6 linked regions of the Rattus norvegicus genome follow. The protein of the gene in region 4 purifies or fractionates together with the protein of the main gene of each other region. This does not show direct contact. Links are inferred from orthologs where the notes say so. Each region holds a gene or a part of one and is shown on either strand. Other genes may lie near its edges. The genes, in order: Pop4, Rpp25, Rpp38, Pop1, Pop7 and Rpp30.

Region 1 (4,108 bases), on a different chromosome or scaffold from region 4:
TAACCTTCGAGGTGCCTGAAGCAGGGATAGCTCAACAATTCATCAACAAGTGACATGAGGACACTTCGGATCTTGTAACTAGGTGGCCTCTCTTTCATTGGGGATTAAAAACTGAAGGTCAACGGGCCTTTTGAAGTCTTGATTTCAAGGACATGTTCCCTTTAGGAGCCATAGGTGAAGCTTCTGCCCAAATGACAAAGCATCCGGAAACACCCAGACAAAACTCCTAACAGCGGCTTATGGAACGGGCTGAGCACTGCCCAGGATACTGGTTTCAGGTGGGCGAGGCTGTCATCCCTACAGAGAGGGGGATGACAGGAAATCAAGGAGTCCAAGTCCCTCAGAGCTGACTCTGGTAGCCTAAGGAAGGAGTCTGGCTCATGAAGACATCAGCACAAAAGGTTTTTATGGGGCCTAGTACACAGAATGGAAAGGAGAGGCGTAATCCATGGGAAAAGACAGTTACACCAGCCTTAGAAGATCCCGAGCCTCCTTTGCCGTCACCTCTGACAGACTGTACCTGCACATCGTGGTCCTTGGCTTCTTTATGAGAAAAGGCATGGTAGATCACAGCTGGGGGACGAAAGACAAAAACAAGGAGAAATGATTCTTCCTGTTAGGAACGAGTATAATAGCCAAGGCTTTTCCAACTAGGACAAGAACTACACTTACTCAGAGAAGATGATCCTTTTATTTTATGCTGCAGTGCTGGAGGACTAATGTGAGGGGAGTGTAATGTATGCTGAGCAGGTGCTTCACTGTGGACGTAGACCCCAGCCCTCTTACGTGTCTGCTTTGTATCCTAGGCTGGCCTCCAACCCACACCAGTCCTGTCTTAGGCTTCCAAGTGCTAGTAGCTGGGATTATACACATGTACCACCACACTGACCTTATAGTGGTACACATGTACCACACTACCCTTCCCTCTTGCCAACTTCATCCTAGAAATTCCCAGGATGTAGTTTTTTTAGAAAAGCACCCCTCAAAGCTTAATGTGTTTAAGAATCACTGAGATCTTATTAAAATTTAGGGTTTTGGTTCCTACTCGACTCTGCATGTTCAAAAAAATTCCTCAATGGGTCACATTTAGAGTTAATCTGATTTTAAACACCCAAGAGTTATAATTACGCTTGGGCAGTGGCTCAGTAAGTCTAGTAAGTCTAGACACTAAAAGTGAGGCGATCTTAATGCGTATGGTTGAAACACTACATTTTGCTGACTACGGAGAGGCTTGAAAGAGGTTTTTTCACACCTTAAAATCTATAATGTATCCTGACCAGATAAGATACAATAGTCTCTTTCCAAATTCTAAATACCATCTTCAGGATGCCAAAACCTCTTTTTTTTTTTTTGTTCTTTTTTTTTTTTTCGGAGCTGGGGACCGAACCCAGGGCCTTGCACTTCCTAGGCAAGCGCTCTACTACTGAGCTAAATCCCCAACCCCGCCAAAACCTCTTTAAACCTCCTGTTTCTCATTTGTTTGGAGGAAAGCATCATGGGGCTCATGACCAGAAAATGCAGTTCACACCATACTCCATACATTCCACTTCTGAGCTAAGTTTGGTGGCATCCCCATCCCTTGAGAGGTAGAGGCCAAGCTGGTTTTACACAGTGAGTTCCAGGCCAGCCAGGAGAACATAGCTGGCTGTATCCCAACAGCAACAGTAAGAAACAAACAAACAAACAAACAAAAATCCATCTCTGTTTCCCTGAGTACATGCTTGAGCAAGCAAACAAACCAAGGCACTTACAAGTTTTATATACAGCATCTAGTTCTCCCTTGAACAATGGATTGAGATTGTGCTTTTTTTGTTTATTGAGAGTGGAACCCCAGGGAGAACTTTGTTGTATTGACCCCAGATGCCTAGCATCAAAACTGAAAGTCTTTCTGCAACATGCAACAGGTAGGGGACACTCACTGCTGGTTGAGCAGTTGGTTGAGTGAGTGTGTGTGCATATATATGTGTGTGTGTATATATATATACACACATATATGTATGCATAATATGTATATATTAATGTCATTAATCTTTCTAAGCAATTTAAAACAGTAGTTACTCCTTGTTATGCACATAGTAAGGTTGTAGCTAAGACATGCTAAGAAACTTGCTCTCTGAGAAAAGGGCACGGACAGGGGTGTGAATCGCCCGATCAGAGGCTTAATCTTTACGGCATCCCCTCTCTACTCTAATACTGCTCCAGTGCTTAACTGCCCTTCTGGGTGCAGGTCTTTTCAGCTCAAATATCAACGCCTTAGGTGTGCGACACGGCCCCTCAGCAGTGTTTACAGGGGCAGGGGCAAGGGTGAAAAGCCAGAGAGTAGAGGGGAGCAGGCCCTAGACATAAGTTATATGGGAAGGTAGTGGCTAGGTCCCGTCAAGGACTTGGACCTACCTCTTCTAGTTCCCCTGAGAAGCCCTTGAGGAGGACACACACACACTCGATCCTGACGTCCATTCCTAGCTAAGAGACTGAGTCGGCCGATTCAGACTTGGGGCCTCGATTTGTGTACTGAGTCCATTCCCTGGAAGATGTCTTCTGACAAGTGTCCCTGACTCATTTCACAGACCAACTTCTGGTTCCGGTGCTCTATAGTCTCACCTCGGCCCCATTCCGCGCCTCTCATTCCACTTACCCTTCATTGTCGGCCAGCTTCCGGAGCGCTCTAATGATGTCTCCTCCAGGCCTCATGCATTCTTTTCCTTTCTTCGCTTTGTTCAGAGGTTTTTACCCCCACTTGGATGCTTTTTTGTTTAAGTTTAAGTTTCCACCTGAAAAAAATCCGATAAGCCCAAGAAACAATTTACAAACTGCACGGACTTGCTCCAGCCGGCGTCAATTTCGGATCAGGCGCCTCTCTGACGTCATCGGCGTGATGGCATCTATGTGCGTCTGTCTCTGGCAACACATGCGCCTTGGGGTTATCTCTGTGGCTTGAGGGAGGGGCGAGGTTTGCAGGTCTTCGCTGTGTCGTTCACTTTGCAACCGACTGTGCCGAGAGCGGTCGGGTCGAGGGTCAGGATTAATGAAGTATAGCGAGGCAAGCTGACATAGAAAGGACGTGAGGGAGATCGGGGACTAGGGAGGGCACAAGTGGTCCGGGGATATCGGCGGTAACGACTTTTTTTTTTTTTTTTTTTTATGCAAGGGGCTCACAATGTGGCCCCGGGTGACCCAGAATTTACTCCCGAGATTAATAGGCACATTTTGTACTGGTGGCCGGGGATTTAGTTCTGTTTCTGCTACTAAATACCTTTATAACCTCGTTTAAAGGTCTCTTTTACTTGATTTACTTGATGTCTTGAGCAAGCAGGTAGATACGTCCAGTTAGTGTAGCTAGTATAACAAAAGTTACATTTTATTATGCTGTGGGCCATTACATAGGTTCACCCCCTAAATTCCTAACTACATTCCTAAGCCTATCATCTCCCTAAGGCTACCCCTCTTGTGTGACTTATCTTAGCTGAAGGTCAGGCCCAGTCTCTAACAGAAGTTTTTGATTGGATCCTGGCAGTAGGGTTCGGGGAGGGGGTACGGGGGTGGGGTGGTGGTGGTGGTGGCTCTCCAGCCCCAGGGCAGATCAAGGTGGCTTCTCTCCAGACAATTGCTCTTGGTGTCTGCTTATATAATTCCACTGGGTGGCATGGGGTTCTAGGACTGGCTAGTTGTCTTGAATGAGTGATGAAACTGGGTTCTGATTATCAGGTGCTGCCTTTGGTGTAGTGGGGTTCCTTGACTAAACATTTTTATATGTCTAAAAGGCATCTTTCTTTCCTTCCTTCCTTCCTTCCTTCCTTCCTTCCTTCCTTCCTTCCTCCCTCCCTCCCTCCCTCCCTCCCTTCTTCCCCTCTCCTCTCTCTCCCTCCCTCCCTCCTTCCCTCCTTCCGGCTGGCCTTCCTTCCTTTCCTATGCTCATTAAATTGCACTCTGATGGTCTAAGAATGTTTGCTTTTTTAAACTGATTTTTTTTTTCACTCCTAAGACCAAGTTTCCCAGACACTTGCTGTGTGGTGTAGGCTGAGCTTGAAAGTGTAATATTCCTGCCTGAGCTTCTGGAGCATTAGAATTTACAGTCTCTCATTACATCCAACCCAGAAAGCATCCTTCA
Region 2 (3,301 bases), on a different chromosome or scaffold from region 4:
GACAGAGTCCCAGTTCCAGCCACACTCCTGGAGTGTGAGCAAGAGATTGGAGTCAGTCACTCACACTTGAGGCAAAAAAAAAAGTCCAGGTGCTGCAGCCACACTCCAAGAAGAGATGAGATATAAGGCCAGTGTTCTGAGCCGCGGGGCTGAGAATTGTCACAGACAGCAAAGAGGAAGAGGAGGGCCGGGTAGCTCTACTCCTAGACTGAAGCTATGTTCATCCAGATACCATCTTGCTGATACTTTGGAGAACACAGTTCCTTACAGTCCTTAGTGCTTCTTCCTTCCCTGTGCTTTAACAGGTCTGTCTGACTCCCTGCCTTTCGTGGAAGCCGGTTGAAGACTGAGGACATGGTCCCAGGGGAGGATTAGATAGGGTCACTCTTTATTAAACCGTCTTCCTTTCATCAGCCCTTGGCCCCTAGCCTCATCTTTCTACGCTCATCTCACCTCCCAGCAGAGCCCGAGCCTCTCCTTAGATTCTGTGGAGTTTCCAGAGTTTGCAAGTACTCCCACCCCCAACATTCCACCAAGGCACTCCACCCTGCCTCCCACCTCTTAAAACCTGCCTTCTCTCCGTTTAACAAAAACAATCCTCTGGATTTCTAGAGGCCAAGGCTGACTGGCAAGGAATTCCACCTGGAATTGGAAGTCAGAAATCCGCGTTAGCACGGGCTGAGCCACGCACTTAAAAATACACGCAGCTCTGGTAACGGACTTTCAGGCATAAATGTTAGAATTTAACGCCTTGGAAGAAATGGTCCCCTGTTCCCCATTCACTTTAGGCAGGCCCAACGCATCACTTCCCACATTTCAGAGATGTATAGGTGCCGGGAGCCTGGAGGTATGATCAAGAGGAGCAAAGCTGAAACTTAAGTCATTCCAAGCAGCTACTGAAAGACCAAGCCACGACGTAGCGGTCCCAGCCCAGGGAAGGCGCTGCGTGCAGCCGCAGCCAACGCCTCCCACACTCTGCTGACCATGCACTGGCTGTCCTTGACGCAAGAATATATAGAGAGAAAGGGAGGGAGGTCCCTGGAGGGCTGGAGAAGCGAAGCCCCAAGAGGTGGTTTGGAAATCTCTTACCTAGGAGGGGTCTAGGGATGCCCTTGAGCTGGAACTCGCAAGGCTTAGGGACTAGGCTTGAATCGGCGTTTGCACCTCAAGCATAGTTTTTATTTAGGTTGTTCCTGCAAGAGGGCTGGTTCAGGGAGGACAGATGGTGACTTCGGGGAACTTCACCTCCCAAACCACCCCTGCTCAGCCGCTGAGCACCAGCGCTGGATCCCAAAGGCTGGCGGGGCTGGGACTAGACACGCAGAGTTGGGGCGGGGCCTGGACTAAGGGGCAGGGCCTATCCCGCTCCCAGGCGGAGCTTCTGCTAAAGGCGCGGAGCACAAGGCTCCGAGGGCGCAGAGTAGAACAGCACTACCCTGTAGAAGTCTGGGCTGAAGACTCCGCGTTCCCTGCTCACCCTCCAGCTTTCACTCGGTGCCAGCATCCCAATTCCTGCCGGCCCTCGCCCGGCACGACCCGCGGCCATGCAGCCCCGGGCTTGAGGCGGCCCCATGGCAAAACCTGCGATCCCAGCGACGACGGCGCATGGAGAACTTCCGTAAGGTGCGCTCGGAGGAGGCGCCGGCGGGGGACGGTGATGAGGGTGGCAGCCCGAGCTCTGGCCCTTTTGCAGATCTGGCGCCTGGTGCTGTACACATGCGGGTCAAGGAGGGCAGCAAGATCCGCAACCTGCTGGCCTTCGCCACCGCTAGCATGGCGCAGCCAGCCACGCGCGCCATCGTCTTCAGCGGCTGCGGCCGGGCCACCACCAAGACCGTCACGTGCGCCGAGATTCTCAAGCGCCGCCTGGCGGGCTTACACCAGGTCACGCGGCTGCGCTACAGGAGCGTGCGCGAGGTGTGGCAGAGCCTCCCGCCTGGGCCCACACCGGGTCAGACGCCCAGCGATCCGGCCGCCAGTCTCAGTGTACTTAAGAATGTACCGAGCCTCGCCATCCTACTTTCAAAGGACGCACTGGATCCACGACAGCTTGGCTACCAGCCCCCGAACCTCAGTCCTGGTCCTTCGTCCCCTCCTACCGTGTCGACGTCCAAGAGGAGCCTGGGGGAATCTGCAGCTGGAGAAGGCACAGCTAAGCGGTCTCAGCCTGAGCCAGAGGCTGAGAATGAGGACCGGACTGCCTGAGAATTCTCGCCTCTGAACCACCTAGACTGGATCTTATATCTTCAACACACCTACATCCACATGCACCCTTCCTACCTGGGTTTTAAGGGGCCCATGTTCCTGAATATTGGTCCTCAAAATGACAACGCGGATCCCAAGGCGACAGGAGAGGGAGCTCAAGAATTACAAGAGAGGATTCTTGAAGTCCGAGGAAAACTTTGTGGGACATGTTGCCAGAAGCCACAGAACACCACCCACACCTTTTCTAGGCCATCTTTTTTAGGGAAGCCTGGTGGGTAGTGGGACTCTTGAGCTTTCTTGGGGACCCAGACGTTAAAAGCACCCAGTGTGCATGGAGGCTGACAGTTGAGGCTTTAAAAACCGTCCTTGTTGTTAACTGAGAGCAGGAGCTGTGAAGCTGTTTCCTTGAGGGTGACCAAGTTGAAAATGTCTGGACCCTGTTCTGCCCACCCACACCCTAGCATATTCCTTTTAGCTTCCCCCCACCCTCACCCCTGTTGCATGGTGGCAGAGACGGGACCCAGGAGGAAACTTGCCATGCTTCCTCCCCTGAGTCCTGCTGGAGTATTGCTTCCAATAAAACAAACATGAAAATGGCTCCGTCCCCAGTTTTGTCTCTTTTTTTTCCCTTACCCGCTCGCCTGTGCAGAGCCCACTTTGGCATGCTTGCCTTCAGCCCTATTAGCCTTTGGAGTCTTCAAGGTCAGACGCAGACGGGGCAGCGTCAAAAATGTCGAAAGAGGGACTTGTGGTGGAGGGGGTTGGAGGTCTGTGTCCCTGTTGTATCCCCACAAGGGAAAGGAAGCAGTGTTGCTGCTTTTCTGGGAGGGGAAGGAGGGGGAGCCTTGACGAGCTGGAAGCGGCAGCCTGCCAAGGCTGGCCAACCATGCTAAGGTTCTAACCTTGCACCCTCCTCCCAGTAGCCATTCTTACCCAGAGGCAGGCACAAAGCCCCAGGAGCAGGGGCTCCCCTTCGCTGCCCTCTCTCTGCAAAAGGACAGCACACCCTTGGGAGAGGGGGAGGGAGAGAGACAGCACAAATCCACTGCTGGAAATTACTATTCAGCAGAGAAGCTTGGGCTGTGAATCACTGCAG
Region 3 (4,170 bases), on a different chromosome or scaffold from region 4:
GATCGACTTAAACTTGTCCTCCAGCGTCTGTAGGATAAAGTGCATGTCTTCTCTCTCCAAGCTGCTCCAGGAAATGACATAGGGGTTGTTCAGTGATGTCTTTACAACCAGAGGTCTAGTCTTCCGAATAGATCCCCTCTTTGGTGCCTGAGGAGCTGCAGCCATCTTGAAAACCCTTTGGAAAGAAGCAAAAATGATAAAAGTCATGTTGGCAGTGCATTTTTGAGAATATTTTGGGTATATTCTCGTCTTTTTTTTTTTTTTTTTTTTTTTTGGTTCTTTTTTTCGGAGCTGGGGACCGAACCCAGGGCCTTGCGCTTCCTAGGCAAGCGCTCTACCACTGAGCTAAATCCCCAACCCCCCATTCATTCATTTATAAGCACGTTTACTGCAGTGGGCAGATGGTGTTCCAGACACAGCTGCTGGTGGGCTCTGAATTCCCTGCAACTGCTCACACAGAACTTCTCTTCTGGACTCTCTCAAGTTCATAAAGAACTAGGTCGGATTTTAAGAACCAAAATAGTAATGATCTATCTCCATGGCTAAAACTTTGTAAGTCTCCCTCCTCTCATGATCCCCAAGTTCCTAAAACATTTTAAACATACAGGTTTATTTCCCCTCTCATGTGATCATAAAATTCCTGCTTTGGCTGACAATTTCATGAAAAATAGGAGAAATTTGTGGTGAAATTCTGAGAGTAACTCATTAGGGAGAAATAAATGGGCTGAGCTCCTAAAAGAAAAAACAAAACAAAACAAAAAAAACCCCACAAACCCACTGGCCTATTTGTTCTTCCTAGTGACTATATCATATTAACCTCACAAACAAGTTAGGATGTTCTCAACTGCTCCTTGTCAGGCATCCATTCATTTAGATCCTGTTTATTCTTCCCAAAGGCAACTAAGTATGTAGGTAGATATTATATATAATATATATGTATACATAAATAATATGCATGTGTACTCCTCTCAGTTGTTGTCTCCTTCCTAGAGTTCATCTGAGAACTATAAAGACCCAGTTGACAAAATAAGTCCCCTCTGATTAAGGTTCCTCTAACTCAGGGCGCTTTCTCCACACATCCAGTCCTAAAACACAAGAGTTTGCCAGTGTGGATTAGGAAGCAGATTCACTGTACAACTCACAGCTAGTTTTTCTGAAGACTTTTAATCATGATTCCATCTTAGAAATAACCTGTGATTGGCTTTTAAGAACAGTCAGATGGCTTTACTGAGCTGGGATTTCTGGGAGTACAGCTTCACCAGAGGTACTGGTAGAAAGATGCCCAACGTTTGGAGGTTGGTGTGGGACAGGTGGCATTTCCAAACTGGACAGCTGTAGGAAGTGGTGTTGCAGACTCACTCCTCTCCTGATCCTTCTAGTCCCCGTCCACATAAAGTCAGAATTCCTCCCACTAAAAGCTGCAATCTTGATTCTGTCAATGCTACCCCACTGCCACAGACATTGGCTAATAGCGGCTTCCTTCTCACAACGCACTGCACTGCTCCAATCAATGCCCCAACAGCTGCATACTTCCCACAAGTTCAGACTCAAGAACAGGTCATCTAGATCTAGTGAGGTGACTACCAGCAGCTGGCATCTAGCAGTAGGTGAAATGACCAGGAAGCAAGACAAACAGCCCCACCGCAGCTCTTGCCAAACTACAAGTCAGTTACTGTGTTGCCTAGCCCGTCAGTGTAAGAGGGACACACTCACAGATGCTCTGCAACCAAGGGGACTGCAAGATTGGGATGTACTCTGATTTACAAGAACCTAGAAGGGGAGGTGGAAAAAAGCCAAGTCTACATAAGGCGACTGCCATGCAATATGAATTTTTAAAATGCTGAACGGTAACGGGTTCACAAAGCTTGCTCTTGCTCAAGCGCCTTGCCAACTATGTCTGCAAGCTGCCACTGCCTACAGGACTAACTGCAAACTCAAAATGTTTACCTTTTTACTCACCCATCTCAAACCTTTCTGCTTTCACCCACCACCCATATTACAGGTTCTGAACATTTAGTTTCTCATGTCCTTATTAAGCGTACACTGTGCCTGGTATAGCACTCACACACCAGATGTTTTGTTTTCCATCAAATTCTTGGGACTTATCCTTGCTCCCGGTTATTAGGCGTGGGGCAGAGCAAACAGCTTCTGCGACTAATAAAAACGGCTCACTCTAAAGCCAAAGTAGTGAAGTACCTTGAGGAACATACCTTGAGGAACAGACAGTTAGCGACCTTAGTTGAGAGGGTCAGGAAAAGAAGTCTCTCTGGAGGAAATGACCGTAACAACCGCTTTCTAAAAGAATTCCTTCCGAAGGAAGCGGGCTGCGAGGTATCCCAGAAGAGTATTAAAGTTCAGTATCGCTCGGGACAGAGATGCTAGAGTTGGAGTAAGGACAAGATGGTGGTGACTCTAGAGAGACTTTCAGAAGGGTGGCGCTATTAGAAATGGGTCACAGAGAGACCTTGATTTGGGGAAAGAGACCCTGGATAGGCCGTCAGCAGCAGAGATGCTCCCGTAGTCTCGGGGGAATGATGTCTCACGTCACACCACGCGACGGAAGGAGGCCGGGATCGCCTGAGGCCAGCCGGAAAGAACCTCAGGGAGACCGGGCACTGGATGAACCCCACGCCGCGATGACCCGGGTGCCCACGGGCTGGGACTCGGACCACGGACTCGCATGCACCCACCTGTGCAGAAGCGCCCCGCGGAGACCACGTGACAGATCGATTCACTGCGGCGGCAACTCCGCCACCACCGGGGACCACGGCGCCCGCTCCACGTGCGCCTGCTGCGCGCGTGCGCAGAACACGAGCTCCGCCTACCTGCCGCTCTGCATTACGTCACTCCTAGTAAGGAACGTCAGCCGTAGTTTGGCTACCGAGAGTGGTCCCTGCGTAAAATCCCTCAGCCTGGGACCGAGCTCTGGAGCAGCACTGCGCAGGCGTACGGTCTGTCTCGCGAGAGTCTGTGGTTGCTGTAGTAACCAGCCTCTGCGCTTCTGTCAGGTTGTCTAAGGATGCTGATGTACCAAGCAGCTCCCGGAGTCTGGTTTTGTGAGAGGTGGATCTCTCCTTTCCGCTCGCTGTTTTTAGCCAAGTTGGTTCTGCCTGGGAACTCTGGCCTGCCGTCTCTTTTCGTTCTAGGGACGCAAAGCTCCAGCCCTTATGGCCACCCATTCATTCCCCTGCCCACGTCGCCGCGCCACCACGAAAATCAAATAAGTAGTAGGGCTAACAGGGTTGCGTGTAATTACAATTTATGTGGAGAATCTTGGGCCCTCTGAAAGGAGAATAAGGGCTGCGTTCAGTTCCACAGCGGTACTCCAGAATATGCCGGCAATATCTGTTGTGCCTCCTGACTAATGGAGACTGTGTGTGTGTGTGTGTGTGTGTGTGTGTGTTTTATGAAACAAAATCACTGGAAAGTTACAGACAACTAGTAAAACAGTGGAATAGCGTGCTAAAGATTAAAATTCTGTTGGCTACACTTGACAGGATTTTTTGCTGTTGTTCCTTTCTGACCTCTCAGGACGTTGGGAGGTGTAGTGGCTATTCCTGGTTGTCCGCTTGACTATATCTGGAATGAACTGCAATCCAGAACTGAAAGGCTCACCTTTGATCCTGATATTGAGGCTGGGCGATGGAGATTCGGGTCCTTCTCTTTATTTTCCTTCTAGGTGTCTTCATTGCTCGTTTTAAACTAACGTTTATAGTCTAGCTTCTGCATTTTCATCATTCGCCACTTATTGGACATTTAAACAAAACAAAAGCGGTTGCTTTTGGTCAAGGATTGTTGAAGTTTTTACAGGGAACGTGTGCTATGGTTTCTACCAAAAGTTGATTAAGAAGAACGAAGTCAGGACGAGTTTTGAGTGTGCCAACAGGTTTTTGTCTCATAAAGCGTTCTTTACTATAACCCGCAGTCCTGGTGCGCTGAAGACAAATCGCGGTGATAGAATTGAAATACTAAAGGTTCACATGAAATCCTGGCGCGTGGGAGACTGGGGCAGGAACCTACACACCATAAAAAAAGCAGAAAGAAGGAGCGAGAAAAAGTGTAAAAAGGTAGCCAGACTGCTATGTTCAAACCTTAACCTTACCACTAACTAGTGTACCTACGCCTCGGGCAAGTTAATTAGCCTTCTGTGAAATGATAAAAATAGCCCCT
Region 4 (3,500 bases):
CCTAGAATCAAGCCTTCTGAATTCAAATCTTCACTCCATCCTTTGTGAGCAGATACAAGACCTCTGTATGCCAGGCACTGTGCTAAGCACTGGGGACAAGGTAGAGGGCAGGGCCAGCACTGCCTGCCACCGGAACCACAGATGTCAAGAAATGTTAATGCAGAGCAGAATGTACCTGTAAACGGAGGAATGTGCAGATGCAACAGAAACAACAGGCAAGCAAGATAACCAGAGCAGGGGAAGGTTCCAGATGGAGTGCAGAGTGCAGGAGACAGGCTGAAACCTGAAGAACGAGGGACATTTAGCCCAACCGAGAGTAGCACACAGGGTGCTCAACAGGCAGAAGGAAAACAGGTGTGAGTCGTGACAGAAATGGGAAGTAGCACATTCTAGAGCCTGAAGGCCAACATGGCCAAAGACCAAAGGTGAGGGGAGAACTGCAGGTGTGAGAGGACACAGGTCACAAGAGCCTTAGTTAAAATTAAATAAAGGTACAAATCAGTTCCTCGGCCGCTCAGTCACATAAGTGGTCAACACTGTCACATGAGACATGTTGCTCAAAACTTTCCAGAAATCAGTCAGATAAGCCAAACTAAAAGAAAACAAAAACTGAAGGAAAGGGGGGAAACGGACATAAAAAAGCAGAGATTTTAGAGATATCCCATTGCCCATCTAGGGAGCAGGGATTACCTTCTACAGAATCAAGAAAGCAAGCAGAGGATGGCACTTAAATACCCAATTGACTGCCACACCCACTGAGATTCCATCTTCTAGAAGTCAAGGATTAAAACAAAAATTAGCAAAAACAAGCTGGGAAATACTCACTACGACGCAACCCACTGGGATAGGAGATCGTATGTGAGGCCTCACAAATCTGCCGTTTACTCACTCTGTGTACAGGAGCAGCCCTCAGTGCTGAGGTCAGGATACAGTGCGAAAGAGGTCCGACCAGCCGGAACCTGTTCATCTCCATGGTCAAGTCACTGAGAGAAGACCAGAAAACAGAAACGTCCATCACACATGGTGTCTCTACCACTGGCGAAAATGGGACAAGTCATAGCAGACACAGTGGCACACAGCACAAGAAAGCCGGGCAGGGTGGCACACACCGTTAATTCCGGCACTTGGGAGGCAGAGGCAGGCAGTCTGAGTTTGAGGCCAGCCTGGTGTATGCAGTGAGTGCAAAAGGCAGGCAGGGAAACCCTCTATTGAAAAAACAAAACAAAAAACAAAGGGGAAGGGGGGAGGGGGGAGTGGCGTTCGAGTGTTGTCACAAGGACAGTCTCACTCTGAACCCCCTCCTACCTGACTACGATCCCTGTAGTGGGAGAGAGCCACGACCGTGGCTGGCAGGGATCTCCTGTCCCGTCACCAATGGTCTTCTTCGCTCGTCTAGCATTTTCCCCATCATCTCTCCTTTTTCTTTTCTTGCCGATTTTGTCATCAGCTAGTCCTGCCTGAATGTCTTCCTGGGCTGGTGTCAGGAGTGGGGCAGGCACACAGACACTTGGCTTGACGGGTTCTGAACACTGGCACGTTGTTTTTATTTCCTCTAGGACAGCCTAAGGAAGTACGTAAACATTTAATTTAATCTTCAAAATTTAAACACAGAGGGCTCAAGAGATATATGTCTTAATGGTTAAACCACCTCTTCTGGCCCCCATGGGTACTGGGCATACACATAAAATAGAAAATAAGTAAATCCTTAAATTTTTTAAGTTAAATGCAGTGTTCTAAGTTATATTGACAGAGATGGGTATGCTCACTATGCTAAACATTACCGAATGCATACATATTTATCAAATCATTATAGTCAAGCTAAGTATATCCATTCTTTGCTCAATAGTTTTAGATAAAAAAAATTAAATAAAAAAAAAAAATCAGGGGCTGGAGAGATGGCTCAGTGGTTAAGAGCACTGATGCTCTTCCAAAGGTCCTGAGTTCAAATCCCAGCAACCACATGGTGGGTCACAACCATCTGTAATGAGATCTGATGCCCTCTTCTGGTGTGTCTGGAGACAGCTACAGTGTGCTCACATAAAACAAATAAACATATCTTTAAAAAAATAGACAATCAGTCAGGCATGACGACACATGGGTTTTTGGGAGACAGAAACAGGCAGATCATTTTGAATTTGAGGCCAGTTTGGTCTACACAGCAAATACAGGAAAGTCAGGCACTCAGAAACAAATGAAGGAAGGAAGGGAGGGAGGGAAGGAGGGAGGAATGGATGGAAACTAACATTTTAATTGATTCATTAAAAAAAGTATAACATCAAACTGTCAGCCAAACTTGTATACCCTGAAATGTCTAAAATGCTGTCTCCCAGTGGTAATTATGAATATAAGCGTCCACGCAGTGGAAGGAAAGAGCAGACTCCCACATGTGTACGGTTAAAGCCCTCCACTCGCTGTGTAATTAGATGGAATGTAACAGAAAGACATACCAGTTTAAGAGTTGGGTGAAGCCAGATCCACAGCTGCCTTTCCTCAGAGGCGTCCCCTGGGGTCTCCCTAGACTTCCAGATGAAGGTAACCGGCCCAAGCATGTCTCTGGGATACTTATTTGCCCGGTAAAGCATGAGGCTCCCTTGCCGCTTCCCAGACAAGCAGTGAACTGCAGCAAAAGTCAGTCCTGGCACACACAAATGAAACAGTGTAACTGCAGGTGCTGTGCTCACACACAGCGTTATTTATTCCGGAGAGAATACTATTAGCAATTGTCAGTCTCCGAGAGAAGCTTTAGTTCTGGCCACAGCTTAAAAGAAAACTGGGCACAGAGTAAGGTCTCAAGAAATATTTGTTAAATCAATGATTTAGTGAGTTTCAGGTTGTTTCTGTCTCAGTTTATTCCACAGAATAATGGCTCACTTTACACCTGAGAATGTTAGTAAAGATTTAAATATCAACTCAACCTTTCTTAAATTAACATACTCACTGGGAATATCTCACATTTCCATATTAAAACTGTGAGGTGCTTAGTAGTGTTTATAATGGACATTCATTTACAAATGAACAGATACAAGGTTAAAGCAGCACACAGCTTTAGAATTTACCTGTGTCTATGCTGCACATTTGAGAAAGTGCCTTCAGTATTTCTTCCTCTTTGCCCTTCAACTCCAAACAACAGTAATATGATAAATCCTGAACAAAGGAGAAACATAATTAAATATTCTATGCTCTGTTATGGGGTAAAAATACTAAGAAGCCAGTAACCCCATTGAGGAACACAGGAGATGGCTCGGAGGTTAAGAGCACAAACTATTCTTGCACAGGACCCAAGTTCAATTCCCAGCACCCACTTTGGGTGGTTCACAACTGCCTGTAACTCCAGGTCCAGAGGGGATCTGATCTAACATCTCAGGCAACCAGAAAACCTATTCTAAAAACACAATCAATTCCCTGAAGCCAGCTTTTCAACAACTCAAAACCTAAACCCTGCCCACTGCTATTAGCAGGTATTCTTAAGCCATCCGAGTCAAAAGCCAAATGCATCTTCA
Region 5 (2,699 bases), on a different chromosome or scaffold from region 4:
CACGTGCTACAGTGCCTAGAATAAAATGAGTTCTGGGTATCAAATACTCATGGTTGTTTGACAAGTAAGTGCCTTTCCTATTGAGCCATCTCCCCAATCCTCCCCCGTCATAATTCTTGGGGTTCCTAGGGATCGAACCTGGGGCCTAAATTGATGCTAGGCAACTAGGTAACACAATTTCCTCGCTGAATTAGATCCACAGTCCTTCACCTTGAAAACTTCTCTTTTCCCAAGCCTGGTAACTATGAGAGCCTGAGACAAACCAGCTGGAGCTGGCTCAGTAGGTGAGTCTGCTCTCTAACCTTCCTGAGTGCACACTGTAACAAGTTAAGCTTCTGTGTTACACTCAACAAACTCCTTATTTGTCATATTGTGGTCTAAGGTGGGTTCCTTTCCTGTGGCCTAAATATTTGCAAAGTTTCCTACCCCATTCAAGTACACACAGGAAGAACCATCCCTATTCAAGCACACTAGGAAGAAGAGACCATTCGAAGCCCGGTACCAACACAACTTAACATTTTATTATATGGGACAAGGAAGATTCGCTTCTCGGGCTCTCCGTTTCCAGTTCTCTACGCTGAGATAACAAGCTCTGAGAAGCGGTCCATGACAGAACTCAGAACAAGAGCCATACGAACCCCTAGAAACCTCAACCACATGAAGCCTGGATGTGTGTGCACAAAGGACTTGGTGGATGAAAAGTCAGCTTGATTTCAGTTACTTGGGCGTGACCCTGAAGACTCGGATGTGGATGGCTGAGTTGTTCCTGATCCTAGTCAGTGGCTCTCGAGAGTCAGTCTCTGGCTCCAACTCATCCACCAGCTCCACCGTGGAGGTATTAGCAGCCACCTGTAGGGACCCAAAGCTGCCTGCCTGCAGCTGCAGGGCGATGTTGATGGCACGGTTGATGGCCAGGCCCAAGCCATGAATGTAGATTTCAGTGCATGCGTTCTGCCCCCTAGTGCCTCCGTCCAGCAGCTTTTGGCAGCGAGCTAGCTGAGCCTTAAAATCAGTCTTCATGTTGACATAAATATCATTGGGCCTCCGCGGCAAGCGGTGGGGAAGTCGTTTCCGAAGGGTGTACTCCACGGGGTCCAGCTCAGCCTCGATGGCACCGCGGGGTTCTCTGTTTTCTGCCATGCTCTAAGTCCTGGCATGGAGAAGGAACGAGATTCAGGAAGAATGACAGAATCCTTTTCTGCCCAGCTTTCTAAGGGTGCAACCAGAAGGGGGCGCCCTCAACGCCCTCTTCCTTCCTAGCGTCTCAATCCCTTCCACTTCCGCTTTCTCCACTCCCAGTTTTAATTCATTCATCACGTGGCTCCCATTCCCGGCGTTTCCACGCCTACCTTCTTCCCTCCACAGTGCCCTTCACTCGTGTGAACCTCGCCGACCGATCCAAGTGGACCCCGCTGCCCACGATATGCAGAATAAAGAATCCGAACAGGAACGCCAGGCAGTCTCTTCAGCAAGGGCTACACACTGCGCACGCGTGTCCCCGCTCCAAGCCGGAATCCATAAGCTTGTGGCCTTCTGGGCCTCCGTTCTCTCCGCCCCTTTTCTCGTGCGCGTGTGCGAGGGAATTAAGTCTCGCGAGATTTGTGAATTCGAAGCGTTCTATTCTTGAGCGCTTGGAAGGGCGGGACTAGCTAGCAGAGGCGGGATTTATTGACAGAGGCGGGCCCAAGAGAGGCGTGGTGTGGATCACCCAGTTTTCCCCTCCCCTGGAGGGGCGGGACTCATGGATCTAGGCGGGAAGCAGGGTTGGTAGAAAGGGTTCGGAACTTCAGCCCGGGGTCAGCCTTGGAGCTGGGATCGCCCAGGGGCCGGAAGTCTGTAATCACTTCAGAGCAGTGGAATTGACAGCTGACCTCCCGCCCGAGGTCCTGGGAGATCCGGAAGCCGACAAATCGAAGGGATCGAGTTAAGGCCGGATGTCCACAATGGGCTCCTCCCTCTGCAAGGGACCCACATTAGGTGCCAAGCGTTTGCAGCTTCCCGCCACACCTCTTAACTGTCTTCTCCCGCCGCACTCAAGCTGCTCCTCCATGACCGGCAATCATGACCAGCCGCTCCCTGGTGGAAGGGACAAGAACTGCAGTACTTGGGTTCCTAACCCCTTAAAGTTAGTGAGGACTGGATCTCTGCCCAGATTGTTAAAGCCTTTGGACAGTTCCCTGCAGATGTGAGTGAGACCTGTATTTAGGACCTCGTCCTATAGCTCCAGACCACTTACGTAGGTAGAATCTGATTGAAGGCTGGAAAGAGAACTGTGCACCCTGCTGTATAGCCAACCTTGAAGTTGATTCCCCTGCCTCCACCTTGTGAGTGTCAAGATTATCGAGCACTCACTCAACTGAGCTACAACCCATAACTCTTGGGATTTCGGTTAAAGTGGAAGGTTTAACATTTTAGACCTTAGTTCGCTCCAAGTTGATCTATATATTTAATGAACATTTTAGGGGAACCTCAGGAAGAGTTGCACATATAAACCAAAATATCTTTTTTGTGGTGGGGAGGATAGGGTTTAACTATGTAGCTCAGGCTAACCTAAAACTCATGCTCCTGCCTTGGCCTGCTAGTGTTGCAGGTGTGCATGACTGCACCATATTAATGTGTTTATCCTAAAACTTGTGGCAAATAAATAGACTGAATTTAATAATTTTGTATTGTTGTTGGACTCATAGTCATCTCAGCAA
Region 6 (3,173 bases), on a different chromosome or scaffold from region 4:
GAGAGACCATCCAGTGAGAAGCAGGAGGGAGTCAAAGGCCTCTGAGAATGTGGGCAGAGGACACTGTGGAGTCACTTCTGTAAGGCAAACGACATATAACGACATATAACGCACACTACAGAAAGTAAAGCCTGAAGTGAGGGGAGGGACCAGCGTTTGGTTAGAACTGGTTAGAACTGGTTCCTTATGGGAACTCTGTAGGAAGGGTAACGGGCACACATACGTCAATTATTGACGATGACCTGCCTCTGGGACCCTACGATATGAATATGCTCACCTCCATGGAGAAATGCAGCTCGGCAGTTTGTGGACACGGCAGCCTTGCCTTCATTTTCGGACAGCCCGAACAGCAGCCCTCTGACAGGGTCAGTAAGGACTTCAACCCAGTCAGCCAAAGGGTAGGAGACAACACGAACACAAACAGAGGACAGCTCACCTGGCCACAGTGGCAGACAGACTAACTCTACAGCAGGTCTTAGCCCGACTGAGACTGCACCTGAGAAGCCTCATTTAACTGTTTTCATCCTGCATAGTCCCTCGCCTCTCTTTTCTTCTGCTTAATCAGAAAACCAGGAAAGGGGGGTTGGGGATTTAGCTCAGTGGTAGAGCGCTTGCCTAGCAAGCGCAAGGCCCTGGGTTCGGTCCCCAGCTCCGAAAAAAAGAAAACAAACAAACAAACAAACAAACAAAGAAAACCAGGAAAGGATAAAGAAGTCTACAACTGGTTGTAATTGGCTTGTGAGGCAGCTGATCAGGAAATTTCCAACCAAAGGATAAGGAACATCAGGCTAACTCTAACAGCACTTTTGATTACATTTTCTAAGGGAAAATTCTAGCTCAATGTGATGGCAGAAGGTAAGGGTGCCTGCTGCCAACCCTGTGGCCTAGGACGGATGCCTAAGACCCACAGGATGGAAGGAGAGACCGAACTCCTGAACTTGTCTTCTGATCAACACCCAATAGGAACACATGTTTAAACAGAACACAGAGGATACAAGTTGGCCACGTCATATGGTCCTCTTATTTCCAAAGGCTGACATAAGGAAAACAGAAAATAGAACGAGATGTTATTAACATTTTAATTATTTACAATAAGTAAGTACAACTCAGTATCCAAAGATAAGTAAATTTCATAAATTAAGATCCTTATAATTGTGATAATTTTCTAAAAATAAATAACAAACCATATAAAGGCGTTGTTAACAAGGTAAAGGGAGAAGTAAAACCACTGTTTTCTAGTTATTTCCTAATATAAACATACACAGGCCCAACCTGAAGGCCGCATGAACGGGATATACTTAGCAATCACCATGGCAAATCAGTTAAAAGCACAGACTGGCAGTCCGTCAGTTGTCCTGAGAGCACAGTGACGTTTTAACCACGGAGACAAGGTATTCCATGCTATGCTTACCCTTTCTGCAGCACTGGACAGAATTACGTTCTATAAAACAGAGAGTGAGCAATATTAATCTTAGATAATTAATAAAATAATTGAAGAACTGTATAGAACAAATGACCAGCAATCCCGTTTTAACATTTAAGACTAAAATACTTTCGTTTTTTTTTTTTTTAAAGATAAGGTAGGTAATTAGTGGGAAACCATTAAAAGCTCTCATGTCACACTCAAGGCTGCCAATAATAAAAGCAGAATAAACTTTGTGAATACATCTTAGTGCAGATGAATTAGAAGCTGTAACTTTAACTCACTCAGCGATAATCAACTACTAACTTTTCATTGTGGCAAACTACAAATCCCTTATCAAAACCAGGGGCTTTTGGCACATCTTTCTTCCGTATCTTACTCCTCCCTGGGGAGTTTTTACAAACTCTTGCAAAGCTCCTTGAAATCGAAGAATCTAGTGTCCTGAGAATTTTCTGCTTAAGGCCAGGAGTCAGTTGACAGCATGGACACACTACTAAACCGCCATTGGCAGAAAGCACCCTGGGCGCAGGAACTATACCTTTCCTTTGCAGATCTGCATCAGATTGAGGGCATTGGAGATTGTGTACCTTCTCATGGTTGCGTCTCTGATAGCAGGACCATAGACCAGCTCAAAGCCCAGGCCTCGCTCGATCGCCTTTCCCAGAGATAGAGAAGACAAAGTGTAAACTGTCAAAGACAAGTATGTTAACTACTTCCCCTGCAGTCTGTCTCCACCTCCTCTCTCCCCTCTATGCATGTCTCCTGCACGGGAAGGGCCTGGCTTAAAGAAAGGCAGACCCACAACTCTGCACCCCATCTGTGTGAGAAAGACAGACACGAGGCTATGACAGAGCTTAGTCAGCTGTGGGGCCTACCAATATAAACAGGAACTGCAGAGGGGGAAGACAGCAACGCTTGTGTGGGGAGGAGGCGCAAAGCCGCTACTCACACGGTCCAAAGAAAAGGATGTTCCCATATGTAGGGAAACTGAGCCAACAGACAGCCAAGCAACTTGACCCCCAATGAAGGAAAAGGAGATGAAGACCTGAAGGGCCTGAGGAACAAGAGCGAGGACCCTCACAGCTATGTCACCTACTACATGTAGTTGCATAACTGAACAATGACCGCCATGGCTAACAATGCTATGTGTGAAGAATGGTGTTACTTAGAAAAACACTGTGGCTGAGACTCACGGACCCGTCCCCATGTTGTCTAGCTCTGTTTAAGGTTCATTGAAAGCCAGGGGAAACATGTGAGGGGCTTTAGTATGGAGGCAAGGATCAGACAGGAATTGCTGAAGTCATGTAGGTTACAGTGGATCCTGAATAAGTGCAGGAGGATAGCTGGCCCTGTCCACGCAGGACAGTGTCAGTCTCTGTAGGCCAGCTTCTTCTTTTTTTTTTTTTTTTTTTTTTTTTTTTTTGGTTCTTTTTTTCGGAGCTGGGGACCGAACCCAGGGCCTTGCGCTTCCTAGGCAAGCGCTCTACCACTGAGCTAAATCCCCAACCCCCTGTAGGCCAGCTTCTATGCAGCTCACTGCTCAGTCCCGGGAGTGGAGGGACTGATGTCGTAGACCTGAAGTCACCTAGAGCTCTCCAGCGAAGGCTCCTGTTCTTCCTTGACGTTTCTTCCTCTTCCCTGCTCCACCCCTACCTGTCTTCCGTATGTCCTGTGGTCTTAACGCTAGAAGCTTTTACATTTTCCTACGTCTTTCCCACTTCTAATTCTCTGGCTTGCATTTCTTCCAGGA

What was found.
Region 1: the proteins of Pop1 (region 4) and Pop4 purify together in Homo sapiens (affinity purification with mass spectrometry; 5 studies listed by BioGRID and IntAct, counting the BioPlex papers as one, with this or other methods). This does not show direct contact. The link is inferred for Rattus norvegicus from reciprocal best matches to the Homo sapiens genes POP1 and POP4.
Region 2: the proteins of Pop1 (region 4) and Rpp25 purify together in Homo sapiens (affinity purification with mass spectrometry; 3 studies listed by BioGRID and IntAct, counting the BioPlex papers as one, with this or other methods). This does not show direct contact. The link is inferred for Rattus norvegicus from reciprocal best matches to the Homo sapiens genes POP1 and RPP25.
Region 3: the proteins of Pop1 (region 4) and Rpp38 purify together in Homo sapiens (affinity purification with mass spectrometry; 3 studies listed by BioGRID and IntAct, with this or other methods). This does not show direct contact. The link is inferred for Rattus norvegicus from reciprocal best matches to the Homo sapiens genes POP1 and RPP38.
Region 5: the proteins of Pop1 (region 4) and Pop7 purify together in Homo sapiens (affinity purification with mass spectrometry; 3 studies listed by BioGRID and IntAct, with this or other methods). This does not show direct contact. The link is inferred for Rattus norvegicus from reciprocal best matches to the Homo sapiens genes POP1 and POP7.
Region 6: the proteins of Pop1 (region 4) and Rpp30 purify together in Homo sapiens (affinity purification with mass spectrometry; 5 studies listed by BioGRID and IntAct, counting the BioPlex papers as one, with this or other methods). This does not show direct contact. The link is inferred for Rattus norvegicus from reciprocal best matches to the Homo sapiens genes POP1 and RPP30.

The regions. Positions count from the first base shown.
Region 1 is NC_086019.1:100,102,257-100,106,364, forward strand, and holds the start of Pop4 (ribonuclease P protein subunit p29), read right to left. Parts: upstream 2,801-4,108; 5' UTR 2,643-2,800; coding exon 2,636-2,642; intron 574-2,635; coding exon 521-573; intron 1-520. UniProt on the Homo sapiens protein: Component of ribonuclease P, a ribonucleoprotein complex that generates mature tRNA molecules by cleaving their 5'-ends.
Region 2 is NC_086026.1:66,801,842-66,805,142, forward strand, and holds Rpp25 (ribonuclease P protein subunit p25), read left to right. Parts: upstream 1-1,420; 5' UTR 1,421-1,605; coding exon 1,606-2,205; 3' UTR 2,206-2,801; downstream 2,802-3,301. UniProt on the Homo sapiens protein: Component of ribonuclease P, a ribonucleoprotein complex that generates mature tRNA molecules by cleaving their 5'-ends. Also a component of the MRP ribonuclease complex, which cleaves pre-rRNA sequences.
Region 3 is NC_086035.1:79,821,998-79,826,167, reverse strand, and holds the start of Rpp38 (ribonuclease P protein subunit p38), read right to left. Parts: upstream 2,801-4,170; 5' UTR 2,691-2,800; intron 2,379-2,690; 5' UTR 2,211-2,378; intron 176-2,210; 5' UTR 166-175; coding exon 1-165. UniProt on the Homo sapiens protein: Component of ribonuclease P, a ribonucleoprotein complex that generates mature tRNA molecules by cleaving their 5'-ends. Also a component of the MRP ribonuclease complex, which cleaves pre-rRNA sequences.
Region 4 is NC_086025.1:67,600,541-67,604,040, reverse strand, and holds part of Pop1 (ribonucleases P/MRP protein subunit POP1), read right to left. Parts: intron 3,145-3,500; coding exon 3,057-3,144; intron 2,636-3,056; coding exon 2,448-2,635; intron 1,563-2,447; coding exon 1,306-1,562; intron 984-1,305; coding exon 890-983; intron 1-889. UniProt on the Homo sapiens protein: Component of ribonuclease P, a ribonucleoprotein complex that generates mature tRNA molecules by cleaving their 5'-ends. Also a component of the MRP ribonuclease complex, which cleaves pre-rRNA sequences.
Region 5 is NC_086030.1:24,825,004-24,827,702, reverse strand, and holds Pop7 (ribonuclease P protein subunit p20), read right to left. Parts: upstream 1,543-2,699; 5' UTR 1,350-1,542; intron 1,151-1,349; 5' UTR 1,141-1,150; coding exon 718-1,140; 3' UTR 501-717; downstream 1-500. UniProt on the Homo sapiens protein: Component of ribonuclease P, a ribonucleoprotein complex that generates mature tRNA molecules by cleaving their 5'-ends. Also a component of the MRP ribonuclease complex, which cleaves pre-rRNA sequences.
Region 6 is NC_086019.1:243,215,713-243,218,885, reverse strand, and holds part of Rpp30 (ribonuclease P protein subunit p30), read right to left. Parts: exon of another isoform or gene 2,535-3,173; coding exon of another isoform or gene 2,373-2,534; intron 2,124-2,372; exon of another isoform or gene 2,079-2,123; coding exon 1,962-2,078; intron 1,442-1,961; coding exon 1,412-1,441; intron 1,034-1,411; coding exon 996-1,033; intron 358-995; coding exon 278-357; intron 1-277. UniProt on the Homo sapiens protein: Component of ribonuclease P, a ribonucleoprotein complex that generates mature tRNA molecules by cleaving their 5'-ends. Also a component of the MRP ribonuclease complex, which cleaves pre-rRNA sequences.